Drosophila melanogaster: one gene and its partners. The protein of the gene in region 1 interacts with the protein of each later gene in a pairwise test. Each region holds a gene or a part of one and is shown on either strand. Other genes may lie near its edges.

What was found.
Region 2: the proteins of CG31955 (region 1) and CG7386 interact in a two-hybrid assay, tested with the Drosophila melanogaster proteins (one large-scale study listed by BioGRID).
Region 3: the proteins of CG31955 (region 1) and Max interact in a two-hybrid assay, tested with the Drosophila melanogaster proteins (one large-scale study listed by BioGRID).
Region 4: the proteins of CG31955 (region 1) and lov interact in a two-hybrid assay, tested with the Drosophila melanogaster proteins (one large-scale study listed by BioGRID).

What each region holds. Positions count from the first base shown.
Region 1 is NT_033779.5:3,711,381-3,716,513, reverse strand, and holds CG31955 (uncharacterized protein), read left to right. Parts: upstream 1-3,647; 5' UTR 3,648-3,731; coding exon 3,732-4,016; intron 4,017-4,068; coding exon 4,069-4,245; 3' UTR 4,246-4,288; exon of another isoform or gene 4,289-4,360; intron 4,361-4,445; 3' UTR 4,446-4,633; downstream 4,634-5,133. Other genes in the region: CG2818 (uncharacterized protein), read right to left, coding at 6-125, 211-357, 410-1,867, 2,023-2,421; cutlet, read left to right, coding at 4,896-5,133.
Region 2 is NT_037436.4:6,186,769-6,193,068, forward strand, and holds CG7386 (uncharacterized protein), read left to right. Parts: upstream 1-2,976; 5' UTR 2,977-3,045; coding exon 3,046-4,356; intron 4,357-4,414; coding exon 4,415-5,092; 3' UTR 5,093-5,281; downstream 5,282-6,300. Other genes in the region: D19A, read right to left, coding at 1-1,204, 1,266-2,211; Sf3b6 (splicing factor 3b subunit 6), read right to left, coding at 5,713-5,941, 6,008-6,126, 6,197-6,214.
Region 3 is NT_037436.4:19,261,097-19,267,006, reverse strand, and holds Max (Max), read left to right. Parts: upstream 1-2,822; 5' UTR 2,823-2,981; coding exon 2,982-3,026; exon of another isoform or gene 3,027-3,101; coding exon 3,102-3,167; exon of another isoform or gene 3,168-3,241; intron 3,242-3,482; coding exon 3,483-3,590; intron 3,591-3,799; coding exon 3,800-3,923; intron 3,924-3,988; coding exon 3,989-4,131; 3' UTR 4,132-4,775; downstream 4,776-5,910. Other genes in the region: Aldh7A1 (aldehyde dehydrogenase 7 family member A1), read left to right, coding at 1-170; CG45081 (uncharacterized protein), read right to left, coding at 650-928; Mettl5 (methyltransferase like 5), read right to left, coding at 260-413, 1,564-2,051; CG42374 (uncharacterized protein), read right to left, coding at 2,063-2,326, 2,385-2,510; Bet1 (blocked early in transport 1), read right to left, coding at 4,904-5,257. UniProt on the Drosophila melanogaster protein: Transcription regulator. Forms a sequence-specific DNA-binding protein complex with MYC or MAD which recognizes the core sequence 5'-CAC[GA]TG-3'. The MYC-MAX complex is a transcriptional activator, whereas the MAD-MAX complex is a repressor.
Region 4 is NT_033778.4:25,135,434-25,142,012, reverse strand, and holds the start of lov (jim lovell), read left to right. Parts: upstream 1-2,385; 5' UTR 2,386-2,471; coding exon of another isoform or gene 2,472-2,572; intron 2,573-2,624; coding exon of another isoform or gene 2,625-2,949; intron 2,950-3,001; coding exon of another isoform or gene 3,002-3,352; exon of another isoform or gene 3,353-3,386; intron 3,387-6,579. Other genes in the region: CG43106 (uncharacterized protein), read left to right, coding at 2,472-2,572, 2,625-2,949, 3,002-3,352. UniProt on the Drosophila melanogaster protein: Has a regulatory role during midline cell development.

The DNA of each region.
Region 1 (5,133 bases):
AAATTCTATGCCTGCTGCTCCTCGTTTCCGTCGGCAGAGGTGTGCCACACATGCCCCATTTCCAGGGCCTGCAACTTGAGCAGTTCCTTTTGGCTGTCCTTGGCCTGAAGGTGGAACACACTTTGCTGGGGGGAGATACAAGTAAATGGAGTACAAAGTTAATGATAGCATATATTAATGCTTTGTTTGGCAATTAATTCAAGGACTCACCTTGACCTCCTTGGTGGTCAGGACATCCATTTTGTCGTAGATGATGGCGTGCAGGCCGAGTTCCTTTAACAGCTTGATGGTATCCTTGGAGTTGTTATCGTCGCCCCAACAAAACAGCACCAATCCACGCTCCTTGGCCAGATTCACCTAAAAGCGTCCGTAGCTGAATGATTCACGATTCGAGAGTGGATCATGTTACCTGACTGGGATCTCGCAGCAGGTCCTCCGTGTGTGCCACAACACCCAGGAACTCCATGGCCACCGCGTGCCACACGGCCAGCTCCATGGAGTTGCCCCTGGGGTCCATATACTTCTGGTATTTCGTCGTCCTGCCGAGAGTTAGGAACATGACAGGGTATCGATTTTGCTTGAATCTCAGAATAGTGCAGATATCTGGATCAAAACAACTCAGTACTATCCTGCGATTCCCTGCCTTTCGTAGGATGACATCCAATATGCAATCGATATAGAGATTTCTGTCCACCACATGCTCGAATTCCTCCTCCATTTTGCCGTCCTCTAGCCTCTGAGACCACTTAATTTCTATGTTGAAACCCACATGGACATCTAGGGCATCCAGGACATCGCATAGCTGCGGAAACGGCTGGTGCTCTAAACAATCATCGTTGTGAAACGAACGCGTCTCCCTGGACAGACCCTCAGCAATGTGATAGACTTTCAATTTCTTCAACTGCTCCAGGGACAACTCCCTCATCGGTAGAGCGAGGAAATCGTGCTCCTGCAGACTGCACTTCGACTTTAGTGAAACATAGATCATGAAATCGTGATACACCACTGGCACCAGATCCTTGCTAAGTTGGACATCGAACTCCACCATGTCGGCACCATGCTCTGCGGCATTCTTCAAAGAAGTAATGGTATTCTCCCGAATAACAGCGTCCTTGGCCTTGAAACTAGTTCCGGAACCACGATGGCCCACATCCAGTCCCGTCCACTTGCTGTTCCAGTATCGGGCATAGCTGACACTCATATCCATTAGAGCACACAGCGATGAGGGCTTCACGATAAGATAACCAAGACGCATCATTCCCAGAGGTCGATGGCCCTTGGCACAGGTTATGGGCAGCTCCAAGTTGCCTTCAGAACGTTTAAAAAGATTGGGCAGCACATAATGATAGCCCAAGTGGTTCGGTGGACCATCTTCCTTGGCCACCCGGGAGCTGTAGCTGTACAAATCAATCAGGTAGGCCGTGTTCTCGAAGTCTCCAACGGTCAGATGGAATATAACCAAATCGGTGGGTCCACAGCCGGTGCCGAACTGCTCTTGACTTCTGATTTCGCACTCGTCGGCACTCAAGGTGACGACCTCGCTAAAGGCAAAGGCTGTGGAGGATTCACCGCCGTTCTCCTTGGTATCATGAGTGTCGTTCGACAAGGAATCCTCCATGGGAGACGAGGGCAGCATGGTATCACAGCCGGCACTGGGAATACTCAGGTTCATGGGCGTCACTTTGACCTGGATATGCCTACGTTTCATGCGCTGCTTAAACGTGAACGGAGCATAAAAGAACTTTAGCTGCACCAGAGTCTCCTTGGTCAGCCAGCCCCGATCCACCTTCTCCTGGCCATTGAACGAGCCAAATATGTCACTCTGATTCTTGGCAGGCTGCTCATCCAACTCCTTGACTATTCGGGGCTGTAAGGAAAGGGAATCTCTTAGCAATGTTATTGGGCTAGCTCCAAACCATGAATCCCATACGAGTGCATACAAATCAAATCCGATCCCAGGTCCAGCTGGATTTTTGGACTCTACTCGTATAGGGTCGGTCAGTACATAATGAATTTGTGAACCTGTAATTGCGTTTCCCAACGGCGGACAATCAGCTGCTCCGTGCCGGGATCGACGGCACAGACCATATAGCGATATTCCGTGTCACAGTGACGCGGAATATAGATCTCTCCTGTCCACAGATTACTATACTCATTGTCCTCCTCATTTTTGGACAAAATAGCCGCTCCCGAGTGCTGCCAGTTGCCCAGCGCCTCGCAATTACCCACTATGGCCAACTGCTCGTTGGGCGCCAGATCCTGGTTCATCAGCACCCGAAAGGTCCACAGTCTGTTGGTGGTAATGTCGCCAAAGATCCGGCGGGACTCCAATCGACTGCCGTTTTCCGAGGACGCAGGACAGGATGATGGCGCAGCCATCGCATCCTCATCGCCGTTATGTGAGGCCAGCCAGTTGTGCATTCTGTGGGGATGGATAATAATTAATATCTATATATAATCCTTAGCTATATACACTTTGAATAATAGTAGTTAGCAGCAAAGAACTAAACTAATTGTTGAAACTCAGTATAATTGTATTGTATTGCATGCGCACAAGTAATTTATGCCAACTCTCTCTTTTTTTCGAGTACTACTGTGCTCGTTAGCGTATACGCACTGTACTTCAATTATTTTCAGCTGCGGTCACAAGTTGTTTATTGTATCGAGCGCAAGTAATTCGAAGATATTAACACAACATTAATTTCACTTGCAGTCCGCAATTGTTTTTGGTTTCCCTTATCAGTGGATGACGTAAATAAATAACTTGTATCACTTACTTTGCGTTGTTGTGTGCTGAAATAGAAGAATAAGCCGAAATCGCTTTGTTTGGATTCGATTTCTCGCTCTCCTCCACTTTCTCTCTCTTTGATTTTCCTAGATTTTCTGTGATTTTCCTACGCGTACACGAAACTATAACAAACGTGTGCAAATTGAGGAGTCGCCCGATTTTTTGATCATAGCAGCTGTTTTTGGTTTTTGCTCACGGATTTCAGCTAACAACACATGATGTTTTTCTCTTTTCGTGGCGGGGGGGCTTAACTCTATAATGTGGATATAACTTTATATTATCTGAACGATTTCAGCGCCGCAGGGGCTTCCGATCCCCTTGAAACTGTGAGTTGCATTATTTTGTTATCTATATATCCACTGACCGATTCTAGCGAGGGATGTGAAAAGTATTTGAATGTCAAGATATCGATAGGTTTTTGATGAAGTAAATATTTTCACAATGCTAAATGCCTAAAGCACTTAAAAATAGTAGATGCCTTTTTAGATATATACTACATACTACTTACTTACACGCACTTAAAATACAAGTTTTATATTTGATATTTGAGCGCATTCTCACAGGTTGGCAACGCGAACAGCTGATTTTTAGGGTGACCGTCTTCCGCAACAGAGTATCTCACAGTTTTCGAAAAGTATCTCAGCAATTTAGGCAAAGTTTCTGAACTTTCAGTTACTACTTAATAAAAAGTTTGTTGGTTGTTTACCTAGCTCAAGAGATTCTTTCAGATTTAATTTAATAAAACCGGTAGCTTAGGATTATAAAATTAACTTTGACTTTATTTAATGTCCCTCCCGCGCGAATGCAGCTTAGTAAAAATGAGTCATAGTGTTCAGATCTGCCTACATTCCAGAAGCTTGCAGTATTCAGTAGACATCAGTCGAGCGCAGAAGCTCTTCGTGATAAGACGTCTTCAATTCAAATTTTTTTTATCGAACACACCATGGAGGGGGACAAGGTAGTTTTTCATAGTTCTGATCTACCATACGAATATTTATACGACGACGAAAAACACGTTTCGCACATGCCGGATTCCAAATTAAGTGTACGAAATATTTTGGATTCAGCTTACGCTTCTGCTGAAGGCAAAATTATAACTAGGAAACTTTCGCGCAGCATTCCGCCGTATCCGCATGCTGTTCGAGTAAAAAATGGCATTCGTGTTTATGAATACAGTGAGCCCAGAAAACAGAGCTACAAATCAAGTTTATGGAAGGAGGCCTACAATGTGAGTAGGAATCGAAGAACACATGCTGGACATTTTACTTGCTTTATTTCAGATACTCCACCAGCGGTTGGATATTGCCGAGCCAATCGCAGCAAAGGAACACGTGAGAACGCAGATACATCCGTGTCTGCACAAGATCAAAGGACTTCTAGATCCGGAAACCTGCATCAAGTGTCCGCGGTGTCATAAGTCCATTTCGTCCACCAAAGTTGTGAAAAGCTTTGCATAGTGACGAATGCAAGCCACCTTCAACATATATATCTATTATAGAGGTTCAATATATGCTCAAATCAACACATGCATTTATATATATATATAATATAAACAAAGAATGCAACAGCCCTACAGATGAATCGTCATTTTCTTCTGTCATTTTGCTAGCTGTAATTAAAAGGGAACGGGAAATGTGCTCTCGCTTACTGATTATAGATAATGACTTTGATTTTGAAATAAGGAATGCAAAGAATACTCATTTTCGTATTCACTTCCATTTTGGCGGACTTTCTTTATCAGTAAACAAAGTGGAAGAAGAAGAAACGAGAAAGGTAAACAAGTCAATACAAAACAGTTGTTTGGAAAATGTGCCATAGTTACCAAGTGCCTGCACCAATTTTAATATCAAAACCAATTATTGAAACTAGTTATATAAGTATTTTTATTTACATTCAATGCATTTATAAATAAAATAAATCAAATAATTTAAGCTTACTAAATCAATCAGCTTGTGACAGCCATCACTTTGATAACGATAGTTGGCAACTCTGCCATCGAACAGCTGTTAATGTTTGCCATTTTGGCGCGAAAATACCAGTGTAACAATTTGTTTATATATAATAGGATTTTATTAAGTTGTTTGTTGGACGCTCGTTTGAAACCAGTATGGATCAGTATCCGGACGAAAACGAGGAGTTCGAGCTGCAATACCAAGACGAACTAGAGCTGCTGGAGGACTTGCCGGACGAGTTTAACGCGTACGATGGACCGAGCACATCCAAACAGGCCGCTGAAAAGCAAAAGGAAAACAGAGCTCCCGTTGCGGCACTAAGAGATAGCACCCGTCTTGGAAACTCTACACTGGGATCGCCACAGCTGTCGCAGATTACCTTTGGAGCTAGCC
Region 2 (6,300 bases), on another chromosome or scaffold:
CGGAAGTGTTTGCCACAAATCTTGCACTCGAAGGGCTTCTCGCCCGTGTGGATCCATTCGTGATGCCGCAGAATCTGTGCCTTGGAGAATCTCTTCGGGCAGAAGCGACAGGCAAAGTCCTTGACCTTCTCGTGGATGATTTTGTAGTGAAGTTTCATGTTTCCAATATTATTGAAGCCACGCCCACAGCCTGGACAGATGTGCTGGCCTTCCTTCTTGGTGAAGTTCACTTGCGGCGACCACGAGGGCACGGATACGGATGGTATTGGATTTACCGCAGTACCCGCCAGCTGAGAAATGTCCACCCGCTGGACGCGTCGCGAGTTCTTCGGTTTGGGAGGCACTGCAGCGGTCCCGCCGCCGCATGCCTTCAGCATGTCCTCACTAGGCATCTGGTTGGGGTCCATTGGCACCAAACCATCCGTCTGCATCTGCATCGGCATCTGGCCCGGCATCGGTACGGACATTTGGCCGGGCATGGGAATGTTAAGCTGCTGGCGAAGGGGCTCCGCCGGCGGCAGATCCCTTTTCTCGTGCGTCTTCAAATGCTTGGTGAGGCTCTTCTCGCAGAGGAATATCTTGCCGCAGATCTTGCACTCGCAGCACTTCTCCCCCGTGTGACTCCTCTCGTGCACCTTGCAGGCGTGCGACTTGCCGAAGGTCTTTCCGCAGTACTGGCAGGCAAAGTCCTTGCGCTTTTCGTGCACCACCTTTACATGATTGGACAACGCCTGTTTGTTGTGCGAGGCATGGTCGCACTGTCGGCACTTGAACTTTTTCTCCTTGGTGTGCGTGAGGATGTGGGCGTTCCATTCCTGGCGCGTCGTCTTGCCCACCCCGCAGTACGGACACACATGGTTCTTGATGCCTGCGTGACGCATAAGGTGATCCCTTAAAGCACTATTGATTACAAAACGCTTGCCGCAGATATTGCAAGGATACGGAAGCTCCTCGCCCGTGTGCTTATACATGTGCTTCTTGAGTGCTGTGGGGCAGCGGAATACGGTGTCGCATTCTGTGCAGGGGAAATCTCGAAGCGGGGCAGCCGCCTTGGTGATACCGTGCACCTTCTTCATGTGGAAGGTGAGCAGACGGACGCGCGGGAAGGTCTTGCCGCAGCCCTCGGCGATGCAGGCGTGAACCTCGGACAGCTCTGTGTGGGCGTGGTCGATGTGAATGCGCAGCCCATTGGCGGTAGTGAAACCTGTAAGGTGGGATTTCATAGAGATCGGATACTTATATTTATACTTAAGCCAGCGTTATACCTTTCTTGCAGGTCTCCACCTTGCATTGGAAGGGCAGCAGGTCGTTGTGGTACTTCATGTGCTCCTCGTAGCGGATGGCCTTCTTGAACTTCTGGTGGCAAATGTGGCAGTCGATGATGCGGTGCAGGTGGCGTTCCTCGATGGGAATGCGCTTCCTCTTCGGCTTGTCGCCCCGCGATGTGCCGTCTTCGGAGTCATCTGATTCGGAGGATGAGTCGCTCAACTCCTCCTCCTCTGGCGGAGGCGGTTTTATCTTTTTGGGCCGTCCCCGGGGCCTCGGCTTGGGTTTGTCTAGGTTGCTAAAACGGTCCTGCTGGGGTCCTGATCCGGTAGCTGGTCCCCTCATGCGCTGGGCCAGCGGAATGTCATCATCGCTGCTATTTGGCTCGAAGTCCAGATCGTGGTCGTTGTCATTGCCGCTCTCGATGGACGAATCGTCGTCGAACATCTTGACGGAAACGTTGCCCCCGTCATCCTCCTCCACCTTGGCCTCCTTCTCCACCTCCTCGGCCTCCTTGTCGACGTGCTCCAGCATCTTGAAGACATCCTCCTCGTTCTCGATTAGCTCCATCTTGTGGTTCAGCAGCGGGTCATAGTTGACGTGGTCCTCTTCCTCGGCCGGGTAGTCCTGCACGGCAACGTTGGGATCGAAGACGTCGAAGCTGCTCTGGCAGGCAAAGACATTGCTGGCCACCAGATCCTGGAACTTTTGCACGGAATCGACGCACTGTTTCTGAAAGTCGTGCAGCTCGTTCAGCTTGGTGTAGCACAGGGTGCACAGGTTCTTCGGGAATCCGTCGTTTTGCTCCACGGACAGGGATGTGCAGAAGCATAGCTTCTTCGAAAGTCCTGGAACCAGATACAAATCGTAGGCGGCGTCGTTCTGCAGGTGGTTCAGACAGATCCTGCACAGGCTGTGGATCGAGTACTGCCTGCCCTCGTTCATCTTGCTTTCAATCGCAATCGGCACTGCGGATCGGGGCGGTTTTCTATAGCTTTTTGCGTCTCTCTCCGGTCAGTAAGCAATAAAATAATATTGACACAGAAAAAATTGTATACTCGTCGACTGGCAATCGGGCGAGTGGGCAATAAGCAAGTACTTCTGCCAGCGAGTTACTCGTCCGAGTGCGTAGTTGTTTTGCGTTTCAGGGCTGGACAATCAATGTTTTTTCTTACCTTCTTATTTGCAATTCTAATTAGGTTGCAATATACAAAAAAAAAAAATATATATATATACAACTAATTTAATTAAATAGATATTGCTTGTATACTTCAAATAGTATTTCAGGGTTTTTTAAAAATATTTTGCAAACTGAGCACCATAGTAACAAAAACGAAACTGAACTTACAATATATAGATAATGGTATGTATATATAGAAAAAATATAAAACAAATTTTTTTGTATTAGTATGTATATATAAACATGTAAAACAAATTGCTTTTAATAATAAGCAACGACATTTGAAAATATACAAACTGGGCATCAAGAAAATTTGATACGAAAATGAACGTACAAGATTTCTGTATCGAAATAAAGTCAAAAATAAATAATAAATAAATGTATTTTAACTAGACGCATGCATGGTCTTGCTAAAAAGCACTTACATTAAAACAAGTTAATATAAAAATAAGAATCCAAGTATGCTGTTTACTTGCCACCCCACTACACCGTAATGGGTTAATGGCATAGCGAAACGGTCAGACTGCCTGTCACACTGGAACAAATTTGTTTAGAAGCTTCGATTGTTATCTGCCCGAGAATTGAGGGAAATGGGCACTATGGAGCTCAAGTACTCCGTCCAATCGCTTTGTCTCACCTGCCTTGTCCACCTGAAGCATGGTGCTGGACACGATCTCTTCGTGGTTCCAGATCTGTTCCAGAAGCTCAGGGCGTGCACTTCGTTTGATGCGGATCAAAACGACGGTTTCCCGAGAAACCTGTGCACCCAATGTTTCACCAAGCTGAACGACCTGCATGACTTCCGCGAACTGTGCGCAGAATCTATTAAACGTCTAAAGGAAATGATGACCAGCCAGAGGAATATGCCCATGGGTGTATTCGAATCTATAGCTGATGATTCTGAGGCACCTGAAAGGCCAGAGGAGCCGGCCAGTTTCGATCCGCTGCTGAATAACAAACTAGAGATGATTGACAACGAGGAGGATGTGTTCAAGTTGCTGGAAAAAGTTGACAAGGAACTAGAGGAGCATTCAAGGGACCAAAGCGAGGAGCACTTCTCCAGTGCAGAGCACAACGGACTGGAGGAGGAGAAAAAGGAGTCGGAAGGGTTCAACAGCGACGATGAGCAGGCCATGGGGCAGCGACGGATTGCGAACGACAAGCGTAAACTGTTTCGCCTTATGAGCTGTTCCATCTGCCAGCAAAAGTTCAAAAAGCAATCAAAGTTCGAGGAGCACATGAAGCACCACAATGACCTGTTGCCGTTTCAGTGTCAGGAGGAAAGCTGCCGAAAGGGCTTCACCACAGCCGGTGCACTGCGTTTGCACGTGGACTATGCGCACTCCAAGAAGGAGGATACGGTTCCCTGCACCGTGGAGGGCTGTCAATTGGTTTTTTCCCGTCTCCGGCTGCTGACCATTCACTTGAAAAAGGTTCACAACCAGGCGAGGGTTATTGCTCCGCGGGGTGAACAGTCTTGCAAGGAATGCGGCGTGGTGTTTCGTTGCCCGGTGGCTATGAAGAAGCACATGTACACGCACACGGGCGAAGAGCTTCCCTATCCGTGTACCATTTGCGGCAAGGGCTTTTACATCAATAGTGCCCTAAAGAATCATCTTCTCCGGCATGCTGGCATCAAGAACTACGTGTGTCAGTACTGCGGAGTGCGAAAGACCACCCGCCAGGAATGGAGTAAGCACATTCTGATCCACACCCAACGGAACCAGTTTAAGTGCCGCATCTGCGACTATGCCACCCACACGAAGCGGGTGCTAGAGAGCCATGTTAAGATCGTACATGAGAAAATCCGGAATTTTGCTTGCCAGTACTGTGGAAAGACGTTCGGGAAAGCATACGCCTGCAAAATACACGAGATGGCGCACACTGGTGAGAAGCGCTGCGAATGCAAGGTAAGGGAATTACCATTATACCCTTGTTACCAAAGTCTGATATATTTTCGCCTTGCAGGTTTGTGACAAAAAGTTCCTGCATTCGGAGAGTCTCAACAATCATCTGAAGATTCATGAGAAGAGCGTGGAAAGGGCTCTGGAAACTTATAAACAGGTGCAAGTAAATGGCGATGCCAGTGACACTCAAGTGGACTCACATCAGCTGCTGAAGGTTTACGCCGAATCCGTAGCCAGCATTCCTAAGAATCCCCGCCGCGTAGAGCAAGTTGATGTGGCCCTATTGGCAGGGACCGCAGTGAATCCCACAGACGAGATTCAGTTTGTGCAAAAGGAGGGTATGTACTTGTGTCCCAGCTGCAGTCAGGGATTCAAGAGCATAGGCAACATGAAGCGCCACTACAAGAGCGTCCACGAAAAAGTCAAGGACTTTGAGTGCCGTTTCTGCTCCCGTCGCTTTGCCAACTCGCAATCCGTGAAGCAACACGAGTGGATACACACTGGCGAAAAGCCCTTCGAGTGTAAGACGTGTGGCAATCGCTTTCGCCAGGTAGCGGCGCTCATCCGACACCAAAAAGTCCATGACGAAAAGCCGGCGAAGCCTCTGGGGGAGAGAAATGACCGTAAACAAAAGGTTGAGGCACTACGGCAGGAAATTGCGAAGGTCGCCAAGAAGGAGCTCAAGGATTTGAAGAACCAACTGGCACTGGAGAAGCAGCAAGACACATACGAAAAGTAATAGGCAGCGGCAGCTAGCCAAACTGGTCCTGACCTTAAGGAGGAACCCTAATCGCAGAATAGTTTACGATTACATAGGGCAAAAGACTTCCCATAATAGTGGGAATTTTTATTGTTGGTTAATATTTAACTATTACTTGTTATCCTATTTCTAAGTTGTTAAATAAACTTGACCCAAATGACACACTTTAGAATAACTACAAATGGTTTTGGACTAAAACTAGTTTTAAAAAAAATTGGTCATAAATCGAAACAAACGATTCTAGTTTTTCAATTTTTTTTTATTTTTACTTTCACTTGCTTGTTATTTTGATGAGAGAGTGTCTTAATGTCGTCAAATGATTGCAAACAGTCGGAACCGGGCGCAAATGTCTGCGTTCCGCGATATCCGGCCGTTTATATGATAGATGGAGTGATGGATGGATGATAATGATTAGATTCAAATGATACAAAATGCGATCAAAAAAATCTACAAGTAGATAGCAAAAATTTGGTATACACATAAGCAGAGCAAGAAGTTCCCTAAACAATGGAAAATGGTCGATGGAAGTGGGGGCGTCATCTGGTGGGGCCCAATGTCTGGCTATGCCCCATCACCGCCTGCCGCACCAAGTGTGGGTTCTAAGGAGCTTCAGGCGTCTTCAGATTGTACTTGGCCTTAATGTTGTTCAGTTCCTCCTGTTTCTTGTCCATGTCCACGCGCTTGAAGGCCTTGTTGGATTGGTAGTAGAGCACCACCAGATAGCGATTGCACACATTAAAACCCGATAAATGGTCACAGGCGTTCTTGGCATCGAAAATGTCCTCGTAGACGACAAAGGCGGTGCCACGCGTTTCCGGAGTGTTGCCTCTGCAAAAGATACACAAATTGATTGAGAGGATTCACGGCGAATAGCATTATCATCTTCAATCTTACACGCGTATCTGTCGAATGGCTCCAAATTTGCCGAATATGTCGTACATCTCGTCCGAGGTGATTTTGTACGGCAGGTTCCGCACGTACAATAGCCGATTCACCTCTGGCGGCAGGCGGATCTGCAAAAGAAATAGCACTTTTCACTCAATACATTTGCTTTGTGTGTGGAGCCGTAGGTTTTCTGCTCACATGGTTGCGCTTGTTCATGTCCGGTCGCTTCGGATGTTAAGCGGCGACAAGGCGAGAAACTTTCACTCGGCCTCGAGGAAAGTGTGTGGCGGCTTTGTCTGACC
Region 3 (5,910 bases), on another chromosome or scaffold:
CCACCAACGGCGCCGAGATTGGTGGAGCTTTCGGAGGCGAAAAAGCCACTGGAGGAGGTCGCGAGTCCGGATCCGATGCCTGGAAGCAGTATTGCAAGCGGGCCACCATTACAGTCAATCACTCCGGAGAATTGGCCTGCGCCCAGGGTGTTGTCTTCAATGTGGAGTAGAAAACACATACGATCAATTTTAATGTGCTACAATTTACAATACTATTACATATAATGTCCAAAACTAAATGCAACTGATATAATTCTTCCTATTCCGTGCCGATTTCAAAGCGCCAGAAGTCCACCTCAATATCCTTCGACTTCTGCTTGTGAAACTTGTAGCTGGCGTCGATGTTGTACCGGAGTTCGGCGACCACTGAGCCGCGGGCGCCCCATTCCAGTGCCTTTTTCTGAATGTACGACCTGCGAACAATTAAAATCGATATTTAAATTGGCTTTGATGTACTATTCCACAGTTGTTTAGGCTTGGCTATTCTTCCATAAAAAACAGGAAGGGGTCGAATAATAAGATACCCTTTTAATTAAAGAACTCATCGTTTTAATATGAGTAGCATATATATTTTAAAATATTTAATTTCCATAATTTCTCACTAAAATCTAAACTATTGATGGAACGTGCTGCATCTTATCCACATACTTTATGTGTAAAGCAGCTGCAGGCAGTTGGGACCGCTGCGGCAGCAACCACCCCCGCAGACAGGAACCACTGCATCTCTGGGAATGCGGCGGCAAAGGCTGGGCGGACCGCGGTAGTCTCTTCGGAAGCACAGTCTCTCGCACACTGTCCCGCCAGCGGACACTCGAATGGGGGTGAGACGGCATTGGCCGCTGCCCAGGATTTGCGCATCAGTGGGCATGGGGGCCAGAAGAATCGCCAGCACCACAGTGATGATTAGAAGGCTACGTGAGAGGATCATCTTGCTGCTGACTTCTAGTTGCTATCTGTAACTTGTTGGTGTTTCTGCGGCGTTTTATAGTTGTGAGCAGCGCTCTTAACAAAACAACAACAAAAGCAGAAACAGCGGTAAGGAAGCACATTTACCGAAAAGCGGGTACAATTGTATCTCTTGTTTACTGTGCCAATAACAAAAGATTGCGCATCTGTTTATACCAGCAGATATTCTTAAAGTATAAATCTGCATATGTACATTCATATGCCGAATATTGAGTATCAATATATTTTAAAATATATACCTATATATAGACCAGTAAGCATACTACTTGAGTATCTGTTTAACCAAGAGATCTACACTATTAAACAAGAGAGAATGGTATAACCAAGATTTCGAATATCAGATACGCCGCTCATCTAGAGGGATTGCTAGAGAGGAATTCCAAATTTTGTTTAGATATGGATAGAAATTGTAAAGGAAATAAGATAAGTTATATCAAAAGATTTTTTCAAAACGTTGGTTATACACGGCTGGTAATCCTAATTAAAAATATACTTTGTAAAGCGGAAATCGCTTCCCTCTACCTGTTACATTCTTTGCAAGAAAACTTAAGTTTTCCTCTACGAATATCGATTATAATCAATTTTATACAGACTTACCGTGTTGACGTCTTGTGTAGGGAGTAAACTGCTCTGTTGGCCAACCGTAGGGCCACCTCCAGAAACCGCATGTCCATGCCGGCATTGTGTTTCGTGCCGAATGGGGGATTCATCAGCACCGTGTCAAAGGACTTCTCCCACTTGCTGCCGATCAGCTGCAGCACATCCGCCCGCACGCAGTCAACATTGGGTAGCTCCATCTCCACCACATTGCCCCTAAAGGTGTCCACGGCATCGCCGTCCAGTTCGAAGCCCACCGTGAGCTGGGCGCCCAGCAGAGTGGAAGCAATGCTGAGCATTCCGCAGCCGCAGCCCAAATCTCCCACCAGCTTTCCCTCGATGTCCTCGTGCTGCGACTGCATGTGATGAGCCATGCACGCGGCTATGTGCGGCGGAGTGGGGTACTGTTCCAACAGGATCTTGGGCTGCTCGAAACCGTCAACGCCCTGCAGGTACTCCTCCAGTTTCCTCAGCTTCAACCGGGCCATTGTGGATCCGGCTATTTGCTGATACTGTGGCTGGGCGGAGCGTTCGGAGTAGTGGGCGTGGTCGCAGGCGACGGCAGCGGCTCCAGACGAGGCAGCACGGGTATAAAGCTATTTCCAAAATACGAATCCTGAGGTATAAAGAAGCCCAAAGTCGTAGAGCTCGTTGGATTAAATGCAGAGCGGGCGGTGGATGTGGCATTGGTGGCAATGCCCACGCCCGCCTGGAAGTCTGGATTCACTGTCGTCGGCTGTCCCAGCAACTGGGGTGCGGGCATCTACGATAGAAGACCAGGTAAACACATTTTCCGATCGGCATGTTCCCAACGAACTCACCTGGTTCGGCGGACTCAGACCAAGGTTTATGATCCCGCCCGCGAGCAACTGCTTCTTCGTCTGGATCTCTTCGAGTATCTTGCGGTTCGTCTCGGCTTGCTGGGCACTTGTGGTGGGAAAAGCCATCAAATAAACTAGTAAAAGTCTGAACTATATCAAAAACTTCTTGTAGACTGCTGCTCCTGCCGCTGCCTTTGGCATTTTGCGAGCAGTGTGGTCACACTGGCGAGTACTGTAGTGTGGCGGAAATAGTAGCGGTATTCGAACTGAACCAAATGTGCGAATAAACAAAAAATCTGCAACAAACAAGAGTGTTAAGCGAATATTGAATTTGTGCTTAATATATATATAATTTGTATTTAATACAAATCAAATATTAATAATATTGGTGACCTTTTGGTGCCACTTAAGTTTGAAGTATTATTAGCATTCCTCTATTTGGTCACTCTGCAAGTCTTACAACGTGAGCAGACAACAACAAAATTACATGTTTATTTGGAATAATCACAAAAAACAAAAAACTTACCAACTTAGTGGAATAATCTTAGGAAATATCTATTAATTTGCGCGCAATCCGTGCAAAACAAGTGAAGCAACATGAGTATGAGCGACGACGACCGCGACATAGACATCGAAAGTGACGTAAGCAAGGCGTAGAGGAAAATACTGATACGTGTGTTTAATATTGATTTTAATGCCAAATTAACGACTTTTTAGGAGGACGGGGACTCGGACACTGGCTTGGGATCCTCGCGACACACAAACACCGCCAATTTCACCCAGGTGACTATCCATCATGCATAAACTGAGTGGGAAAAAGCGACTGCGCACATTGCCTTTTGTTGATAAACAGAACGCACACGTGTTGTTGTTGCTGTTACAGAATCGTGATTACGATACAGCAGAGTTCACAGCAATAGGATTCGTAATCGAAAATAATCTTAGAGGGACTGAATATATTATATATTACTATTTACTAACTTATCTTTCTGTTCATATTGCTTTGAGACCATTTTGTTCCATTTTTGTTATTATTTCCATACTCTGCTGTATTTACGATGGAATTTCCTATATGCTAATTTTAATGTTTGTTTCAAGGCCGAAAAGCGGGCGCACCACAACGCTTTGGAGCGAAGGCGGCGCGATCACATCAAGGAGAGCTTCACCAACCTGCGTGAGGCGGTGCCCACACTCAAGGGCGAAAAGGTAATCCAGAAGAGCAACAGGTGACACAGCCGGGCTCATTTTCTGCCAAGAAAATCCCATAAGTCCATACCAGTTCGTTTTACAATAAACTACATTATTGCTTGTCAAATTAAGCAAATCGCATAAAATATATTAAAAAAATCCACACCCTGTGTGATGAAGCTAATAAGAAGTAGTAATAAGTTAATAATACATATCTTTTGTTACAGGCGAGTCGAGCTCAAATCCTGAAAAAGACCACCGAATGCATACAGACGATGAGGCGGAAGATCAGTGAAAACCAGAAAGACATCGAAGAGATCAAGAGGCAAAACAACATAATAGCTAAGCAGAGTGAGCAACTAACTACTACAGGTTATTAATGAACTTCCTGCTAAGATACTTTATATACTTTCCAGTACAAGCACTGGAGAGTTCAAATGGGGATCAGTTCAGCGAATTTCTCAGCGACGAGGAAGTGGGCAGCGAGGAGGCCGACGACGAAGACCTCGACCAGGACTTCAGTAGACGCAATAAAAAGATGAAGACCTTCCACGCATAGCCGCTGATCCAATCCAAAGTGCTGCTTACAGGCGTGTTCCGGCTTCCGTTTTCACCGACATTCTGAATTCTTACGTGGATTTAGTTCAACTTTGAGTTGTGTTATACGAAAGCAATAGCCCTCGAAAAGTTGTGAAGGAAACGGTTCCAAATTCGAATTAAAGTGAAAATTAAAATTATGTGGAAATGAGAACAGTAACAAGTCCGATAATCATAATCATCATTAGCTGTAAGCCCAAAATGTAACCCACCCAATCGACCTTAATTTGTATGCGTGCGTCTTTTCTACTTTCAACAAATTGTCACTCTGTGCGCAAAGAATAAAGTAAACTAGTAAGTACATATTTTTAGAAAAAAACAGGGGCTTCTTGTTGATGAATTCTATTATGGAAATTGGAAAATATAACGGACCAATTGAGTAACATGAGTGCTGCTTTTGAAGAAGTTTATAAATGATAAAAGGATTGACATTTTATGCGATTAGGGCTAAATAAAATCAGCAATTTTTGCAAGTAATTTGATCACTTGATACTGGAACCTTCCCTTATTTATATCTGGAATCTCCTTTTGCTTATTACTCGAGAACTATAAAGAACGAGCTGAAAAAACTTTAACGTACGTATCTGTCTTTCTAATATTGGTTTGAACTTAAGAAATATATTTAACTTTATGGTTTTAAGCCAAAAGTGAACCGCATTCCGAACCAAATACAACCTTCGACTACACTAAACCATACAAATATGTGGGTATATATTTTATAAAATTACCAACAACTACTTAAACTTTAGGGTTATCCAGAGGATTAAGAACACGACGAGGATGAAGAGGAACATGTAGCACATTTGGCGAGCACCACCGCCCTGTTTGGCCAGTCGCACCACCCGCGTCATCGCGTTGCCCAGAAATCCACTCGTCCGGTCCATGTCGTCGTCGATGCCGCGCAGCAGCTTGTCCTGGTAGCGCACCTCATTGCCTATATCGATGGTGAGGGACTTCAGGGCCCCGATCTTCTGCTTCAACTCCTCCGCCGCCTGCTCGTTTTCCGCCTCCAAGGCGTCGTGGCTCGCAGGATGGGGCCCTGAAGGGTGCTGGTTTAGGGGCTGGTACGGGTAGTTGTTGCGGCGCATACTGCTCCCCGAGTGTGCCAGTTTGGCATCCGGATTGCTGCGGATCGGGTGAATTTAACGAAATTAATTAATTATAAATTAATACAATGCTCACAAATCTCAGTTTTCGAAGTGACACGTAAACGTAAACATGTAATCTCACCCAGCGGCAGAACAGCTGTTGGGATATACGCTTCTTGGCTCAACCTTTGTGGTTGACTGTGCATTGACCCTTGACCTCGTGTTGTGATTTCCAGAATCGGTTGACTAATGCCTCTACTTATTAAACGAAACTTTTTAAATTCTCATGCAATTCAATTTTTAGTCGCCGAGCAGTGTGACCAAAGCGGAGTAGCAAAATTATTCCGTAGCAATGCGTGTGGCAGAGATTACGATTTTCAATTAACCCATTGCTTGCCAATACGCTTTTAATATCGTAAGTTCTTTCTATAAGTTTCCAAAACTTACTATATATATATATATATATTGTTTTAAGATTTCATAAAAATTTGATTAGGGAAATCGGGACAGACAACGAGACAGTCGGCGGTCGGCAAAAATTCACCTCCAAATAACTAAAAAATAAATAAATAAAAATCGTCCCCATGTTCAAAATTCCACAGTTTCACCATCGCCGCTAAAAAAAAATTTGTATTATATTTAGGTGTTCATTA
Region 4 (6,579 bases), on another chromosome or scaffold:
GCAGAGGCCTAAGTAAATAGTCCCCGCCTTATCGAGGTCCCACGCTCGGGCACATCTGCCTATCTTGAGCGGCGAGGACCTTATCTGTGGTCTCCCACTAAGGGACTATTTTAGGAGGCGGGGAACGATCTCAAGTGACTGACTCATGTAGTGTGCACTTAAATTACATGTTTTTGAGCAATGCACCCATGTCGCCTTAGATAACAAAATCCTAAATATAATTTATCGCTCTCGATTCATTTACATAAGATATGAACGGAGCCCAAAATTGTAAGTCTTTAAATATATTCGTGTTCATGTGTGAACAATGTTCAAAGATGTTTTTCCCACTTGCATCGCCGACTTGTTTTTGAAAAAATTCTGTTGTATAGCAACGTCCCAAGCAGCGAGAGCACAAATGCTAAATGTGGCGAAAAATCAAAACTAGGCAAAGTAAAACATGCTTAGCTCTTTATTTTGACTGTGCTTTTTTGTTAAATTTTTTTATATGCAAATTTTCCTGGGATCTTATATAGGAGTAGCTTCTACAGTTTTTGGACTGTTTAACTGCGGTGCATTGGCTCTGCCCCCATGATTTATAAACTCACGGCGTGCGCGTATTTATCAAACTCTAATTAATCGGTGATAAACCGATCAAGACGCTAAATGCTGCACTACACGAAGCCGCCAAGAAACCGAAGACTTTCTGCAAACCGTCACAGGGGGATCTGCACTTTGCGCCTGAAAACCGGTTTGAAAGACCTCTTTACGAAACTTGGCTTCGATTGCATTTTTATTTCTGGTTTCAGTTTCGTAGTCCACCGATTACCATGTGATTTCCTACACCGCAACCCACCCCACCCCATCAAAATCACCCTCCACATCTCAAGCCCCTTTCGGGAGTACGAGTATTTGTTGAAGCAATTTGCTTTCTTGCATCTTGTGGCTGACCGAGGCGACTGCGATGCAATCAATATATGCTCGTGTCCAGCAAATAATAGACTTCAAACTGGCATTTTAAAAGTTTTTTTTCATAGCCAAAGTCTCGAAGTACGAAGTGCGATTGAGCCTGGAAGGAGTCCGCCAAGCGTTTTGGGTCTACAATTCATTGCTCTTACCGAGGGCAGAACACTTTTCCCCTAAATGCTCACATAGTTAAACTTATGAAAAGTTCGCTTTGTGCTGCACTAACAGGGGCCTCCAACGAGGGCCAGCTCACTATCCCTAAAGACAGCAACAACGAAGATCACTGCTCAGCAGTACAGCTAGAACATCCTGTATATGTCATAGCAATGAACTCTAATCCACTCTAGTAAATCAATTTATTAGCCACGTATGACTTATGCCTTTTTAAATAAACGCTTGCATGCGTTCTCTAGTTTAAGTTTAAGGTTGAGCGATTATAGATTGGCCATCCCTCAAGGGCGGGCTGAGTCTCAAGATACTCTTAAATAGAGGAGGCACAAGATATTTATGTTAACATGGCCTGCGTAGTAATTTGGCATTGTTGAGGTATCACGATTACGATACGACTTTAATTGTAGTAAAATACGAGCAATCGTATATGTGCTTTGCAATAGTGGCTTCGGTGCAAGCCATGATTATCTCTACTTTAAGATATGTGTGCACAAAAAATACAGTTATTTGAAAACGTTTAGCGTCAATAGTAAGAGTGTGAAATGACCTAGGCGAGTAATGCGTGCTCGTATCCGGATGAGAGTTCACTTATGGGTGCGTTTTGGTGACTTCGCAAAGCACTGCAAAAGTTAACAAACGGAGAAATATCAACAACATAGCTATATAAAACCAGTTGCCAAAAAAATGTGGTAAAAAATGCTTAGTTTATCTTGCTTAACTTTTTGTACAGCGTTTGCCTTTTCCGAGTATGCACACAAACGTTGAGGATAAATTGAAAAAGCCATTTTGCTGCCAATTTAGCAAACACTTAAACCAATTTTGCACTTCAATCCACCGACGCACACAAAAAAGGAGTGTCTCATACCTATACAGTTCCTATTCAGCTGAAGCCACACACTTGCACTTCTCGGATCCCAAGCGGATTCATGGAGCTTGCATCGACGCTGGCTTTGACGCTGTAACAAGGACGACCCAAAAGTCAGTTGCTGTGCCCCACAGGGAGGAAAGTGTAGGAAGCTTCCAAAACGTTGCCAACAAAGTGTGAAAATGTCAAGTCGTAAAGTGTCCACTGGCTGAGGGGACGCAGCGAGCGGTAGATGGGTGCAGTCTGTAAAGTGAAATGCCCTGACACCCATATCTGTTCGGGCAGTTTAAGTCAGCTTTGAGAGGAGTATCAACATTTAAAACAGGAGGACAATCGGTTATTATTGTCGCAAAGTTGATTTACAGAGAAACACAGCGTTTTGTAATATTAGAACTAACCCATTTTTACGCTCTACTCGAGAAATTAGTTAGCTTTGTATTAAAAGTCTGGTGCAATTAATGCTTTAGAATACTTTCAAATTTATCGAATAATGTCCTGTATTTGCCAATACCATGATCTCGGGGACATTGCCACCAGAGACCTAGTAGCGTTTCCTTTGCCTGCAAGTGACGACATGAGCGCTTTCAACGAGTAAGTGATAATTTAATTATCTTATCTTTTGTTACCACTGGACTTCTCTTAGGGTGAATAAAGAATCATTGGGGCATAATGCTGCTGAGATTAGATTGTCGGCCTCAAGTCTATCCGACTGCCGTGTAGAGAACTGGCTCCTTAAAAAGAAATTACGCGAATACGAAGTTACAATTGAGAACCTTGAGCAGTTGGTGACTACTATAGTTGAGAAGCAGCATCAAATTTTGAGCGAAATGTTTTCCTTACGCAAACAAAACCGAGAGCTGCAATCCGAGTGTCATCTTCAACGCGAGTATCACTCATTGGAAAGAAATGCCTTGATGAAGGAGCTGCATGACGCTCAAATCGTGTGTAGAAGTCGAAATCTGGATACGGTAAGTACAAACATAAAGAAACTAAGAGTGCATTTCTAAATGGGAAGCGCAGGCATGTCGATCAGATGAACATCAAGGTAGTGTAAGTTTGCCACCTGGGGACACGCTCCTTAAATCTGAATCCTCTTATGGTGATTTCGAAGAGGAAGACATGAGTGAATCGGACGACGGAGATCAGTGCGAAAAATGTTGGGTCGGCAATAATAAAGAGGATTTTGATGCTGGAGAAAATTACGCAGAGCCTTCAGCACTTAGTTCAGGTCAAAATTCTGGTAGGACATCACCGTCCTTATCAAGCTCAGTAACAGGGGACTCGGAATCGGCTGACGACAGATTTCTCAATAACATAAGCATTAATCAGAGCCTTACTAGTGATAGCGATCCGGAATATGCAGACAAATAATTACTACTTGATGCCTTTGAGTTTAAAGGTCTATATATTTTCTTTAATATAAAATTCAAATTATTTATAGACCAAACTTTCTACCGTGACTTTAAGTTGTCTTTCATGGCATTAAATAATCAAAACAAAAACGTGACAATCGCACAAATCAAATCAGCCATAAGTTTGACATAACGTGACGGTATCAGATTGTGTACAGACATGGCACTGCAAAGAAAAAACACGTCAATTGAGAAAAATAAGAGAATACCGACGCCCAAGTATTTGCATATTAAAACGCCAAAGGGCTGCAGAAAACCCGTTGCTAAAGTGCTCTCCTCGCCACCACACAAATATGATTGAATGGTAAGTAAATATATGTTCGCCAAAAGGGGAGTATTTAGATTACTGGCAAAAACGTGTTAAGTGTTTATCTATCGAAAAAGTTCAGGCCAAAACAGCTACCAGCCCTTTTGCAGCTTCTGGCATGACTATACATGGTTTGGGATTGGCCCCACACAAAGTTGTAAGAGAAGCGAGAATGTGTGCTTGTATTATGGGCAATTTATCAAACAGAAAGTTTTCAGCACAAATGAGTCGTGGCAAGGAAGCCGAAGGCCACCCGGGCACCCGTTTGCCAACAGGATTAATGAGTCTCGTGTGCTGCCTGTCCTATCCTACATCCTTGAAACCTGTCTCGCAGCACGTACCAATAATCTATTATGAGCCCTCTTCGAGAGGCAACTTGTGGAAGTTTTCGGGTTCTTTCCAAGATCGCTTGTCTTGGCTACGTTTTATGTGAAGATTTTTGATACTATATATGGGTGATAATATGAGACGTTATGACGTTTATCTCAGACTTGTAAGATGTTAAGCCAGAAACCACAGTTTTTCTGTTAGCATGAACAAAAGAGCATATTGCAATGCAATGTCAAAAACCTTAACTTTTCGTTGCTTGCCCTCAAGGACTTACACAAAAATAATTAATGACGAACGGCCTCGACTCAATGTAAATCGAGTCCGAAACTGTTTGCAATATCATTTATCAATTCAGAATTTTGTTTAGAAACTTGTTGCGCACAAAAAAGCTTTTCATGTACACGTGAGAAGGTACGAGGACTACCGCGGTAAAATGAATGGGATACGAGATGTGAAACCAAACAAGGCATTAAAGAAACACGCAAACATATTGAAATGCAATACCGTCTTGGCACTATAAACGCCTTGCGAATCGCATCATGATAGCTCCTGCATCAGAATCTTCTACGCCCCAAACAAGTAGCTTAAAATTGCGCGTAAGTGAGCATGGGTGCGTTTTTGAACCTTTGGTTCAGGCTACATCAAGACATATGAAACCAAAATGGTGCTAGTTGGTGGACGGTTGACTTTGTGAATATAGTTATTTTGGATAGTTATGTACAAGCGACCAACGCCGTCTTAATATTTTTATATTATGTTGTAGCAGGCTGCCTTGATCCGACGAAAATCGAATTTTCTGGATCAACGCCTACTTACTTACTCAACCGTAAAAATACATAAAACTTTTGCAAAAAAAAAAAAAAAGAAAACAAGGAAAAACCGTACTTGCGTGTTCTAAGCAATTTCAAACCAATAATCGTTGGGTGTCTTTTAAATTAAGTAACCAGAGCCATGCAAGCCAAATATGCCACATTGACATGTCTATCAATGCTGCTATGATGGCTTTGATGGGATGAGGGCAAGGACTTTTTGTTATTTTTTAATTTAACTAATCTAAAATTGGAATCATTTTATACTCAGCCCACAGGAAGTGTGGCATAACAGAAATAAAAGAAACCAATGAGTGATACATTGCGATTAATACAGGAGAGTACTATCCAATAAAGCAAGGCAGACCACATTTCATTTCTATTATACCGCGCTTTTCATATATGTATACATTTTACTTGGTTTAACACAAAAACCTGGCTGACAACTTTCTCAAAAATTTCTGGGTAGAGTTCAAAGGGGGTAAAATTTACTTCATACACCTTAATACATTCACCAGTTCATTTTATAGGGTTTCTCATGCATATTCAGAAAAGTATTTGTTTGAACAAATGTGTGTATGTACATTTGATTTTCTGGAGGCGAACCCCTTTGGCGTAACTCGAAGACCATAATATTGTATTAATGTCAGGATACCATATTGTCCTGCATATTAATGAGTATAGATTTAATAGTCATTTGTATTTATTATTGTATTACCGATTGGTTTTCGTGAATAAACAAAATAGTTTTGTTGCTACAAGAAGCATTAATTACGCACAATGAATAGTCCGGAAGTTACAAGGAAGGAACAATTTCTTTCGCTGAATTCCTTTCACAAACATTACTCCTTACCAAATAGAGTCGATCGTTTTAAGTACCCCGACCGCAGTAGTAAAAATCGAAAATGGAAAGCGTGTTATAAGAGAGAAAATAGAATCATACTTATTTGTGTGCAAAAATCCATTTTCTAAAGTAGAGAAAATAATATGGCACACAAAACAGCAAGGTGAACGATGAGCCGAGGAAAGTGCAACATGTGTTGCAGTCAAAGGATCGGAACGATTACGATCGTTATCACCAAATCAGCGACCTGGTATAATAGCAGATCATGACGGTGCGCGGAGAAGGCTATCCAAGTTAACGAGCGGCAAGCACGAAACAAGCACACATGGCCTCCACATTGGCCTTGCAGCCTCCTGGATGAGCCCAGATGCAGCTGCGTGGAGTTGCCCACATTATTTGCTAATCTAGCACCTCAACTACTACCGCTATAAGCGACTGGAAAGTGATTATGCTGAAGTTAGTTTGCACTTGACCACACTTATACATCTTCCTTGAAAAATGTTGTTAAAAAGGTTTCGAACGGCAATCTGGAAAGATCGAAATCAGCGTTTGATCGCCAATTCGCTGGGCCATACTTCGATTACAGTTAAGTAGACAGCAAGCTACTTAACCTCCAGCTAAAGCGGTTGACTTTGGCCATCTGCTCTTGGTGGAAGGATAAGGAAGAGTCGACTGCCGACTATCTTGTTTTGGCGGGGCGTCATTTTTTTTGTAAATTACTTTAATAGTATAAACATAATCATTGGTACTGTGGCTGCTGCTGAGCAACCAACTTCCCAAGACAACCAAGTGCGCAGCTCCATACAACAAGTAGGTACTTGCGTTTTGCATTGCGGAGCAACGAACTGACTGAGCTCTGGTGGTAACTTCATTCTAGTTACGAAGCTGTGATTGAC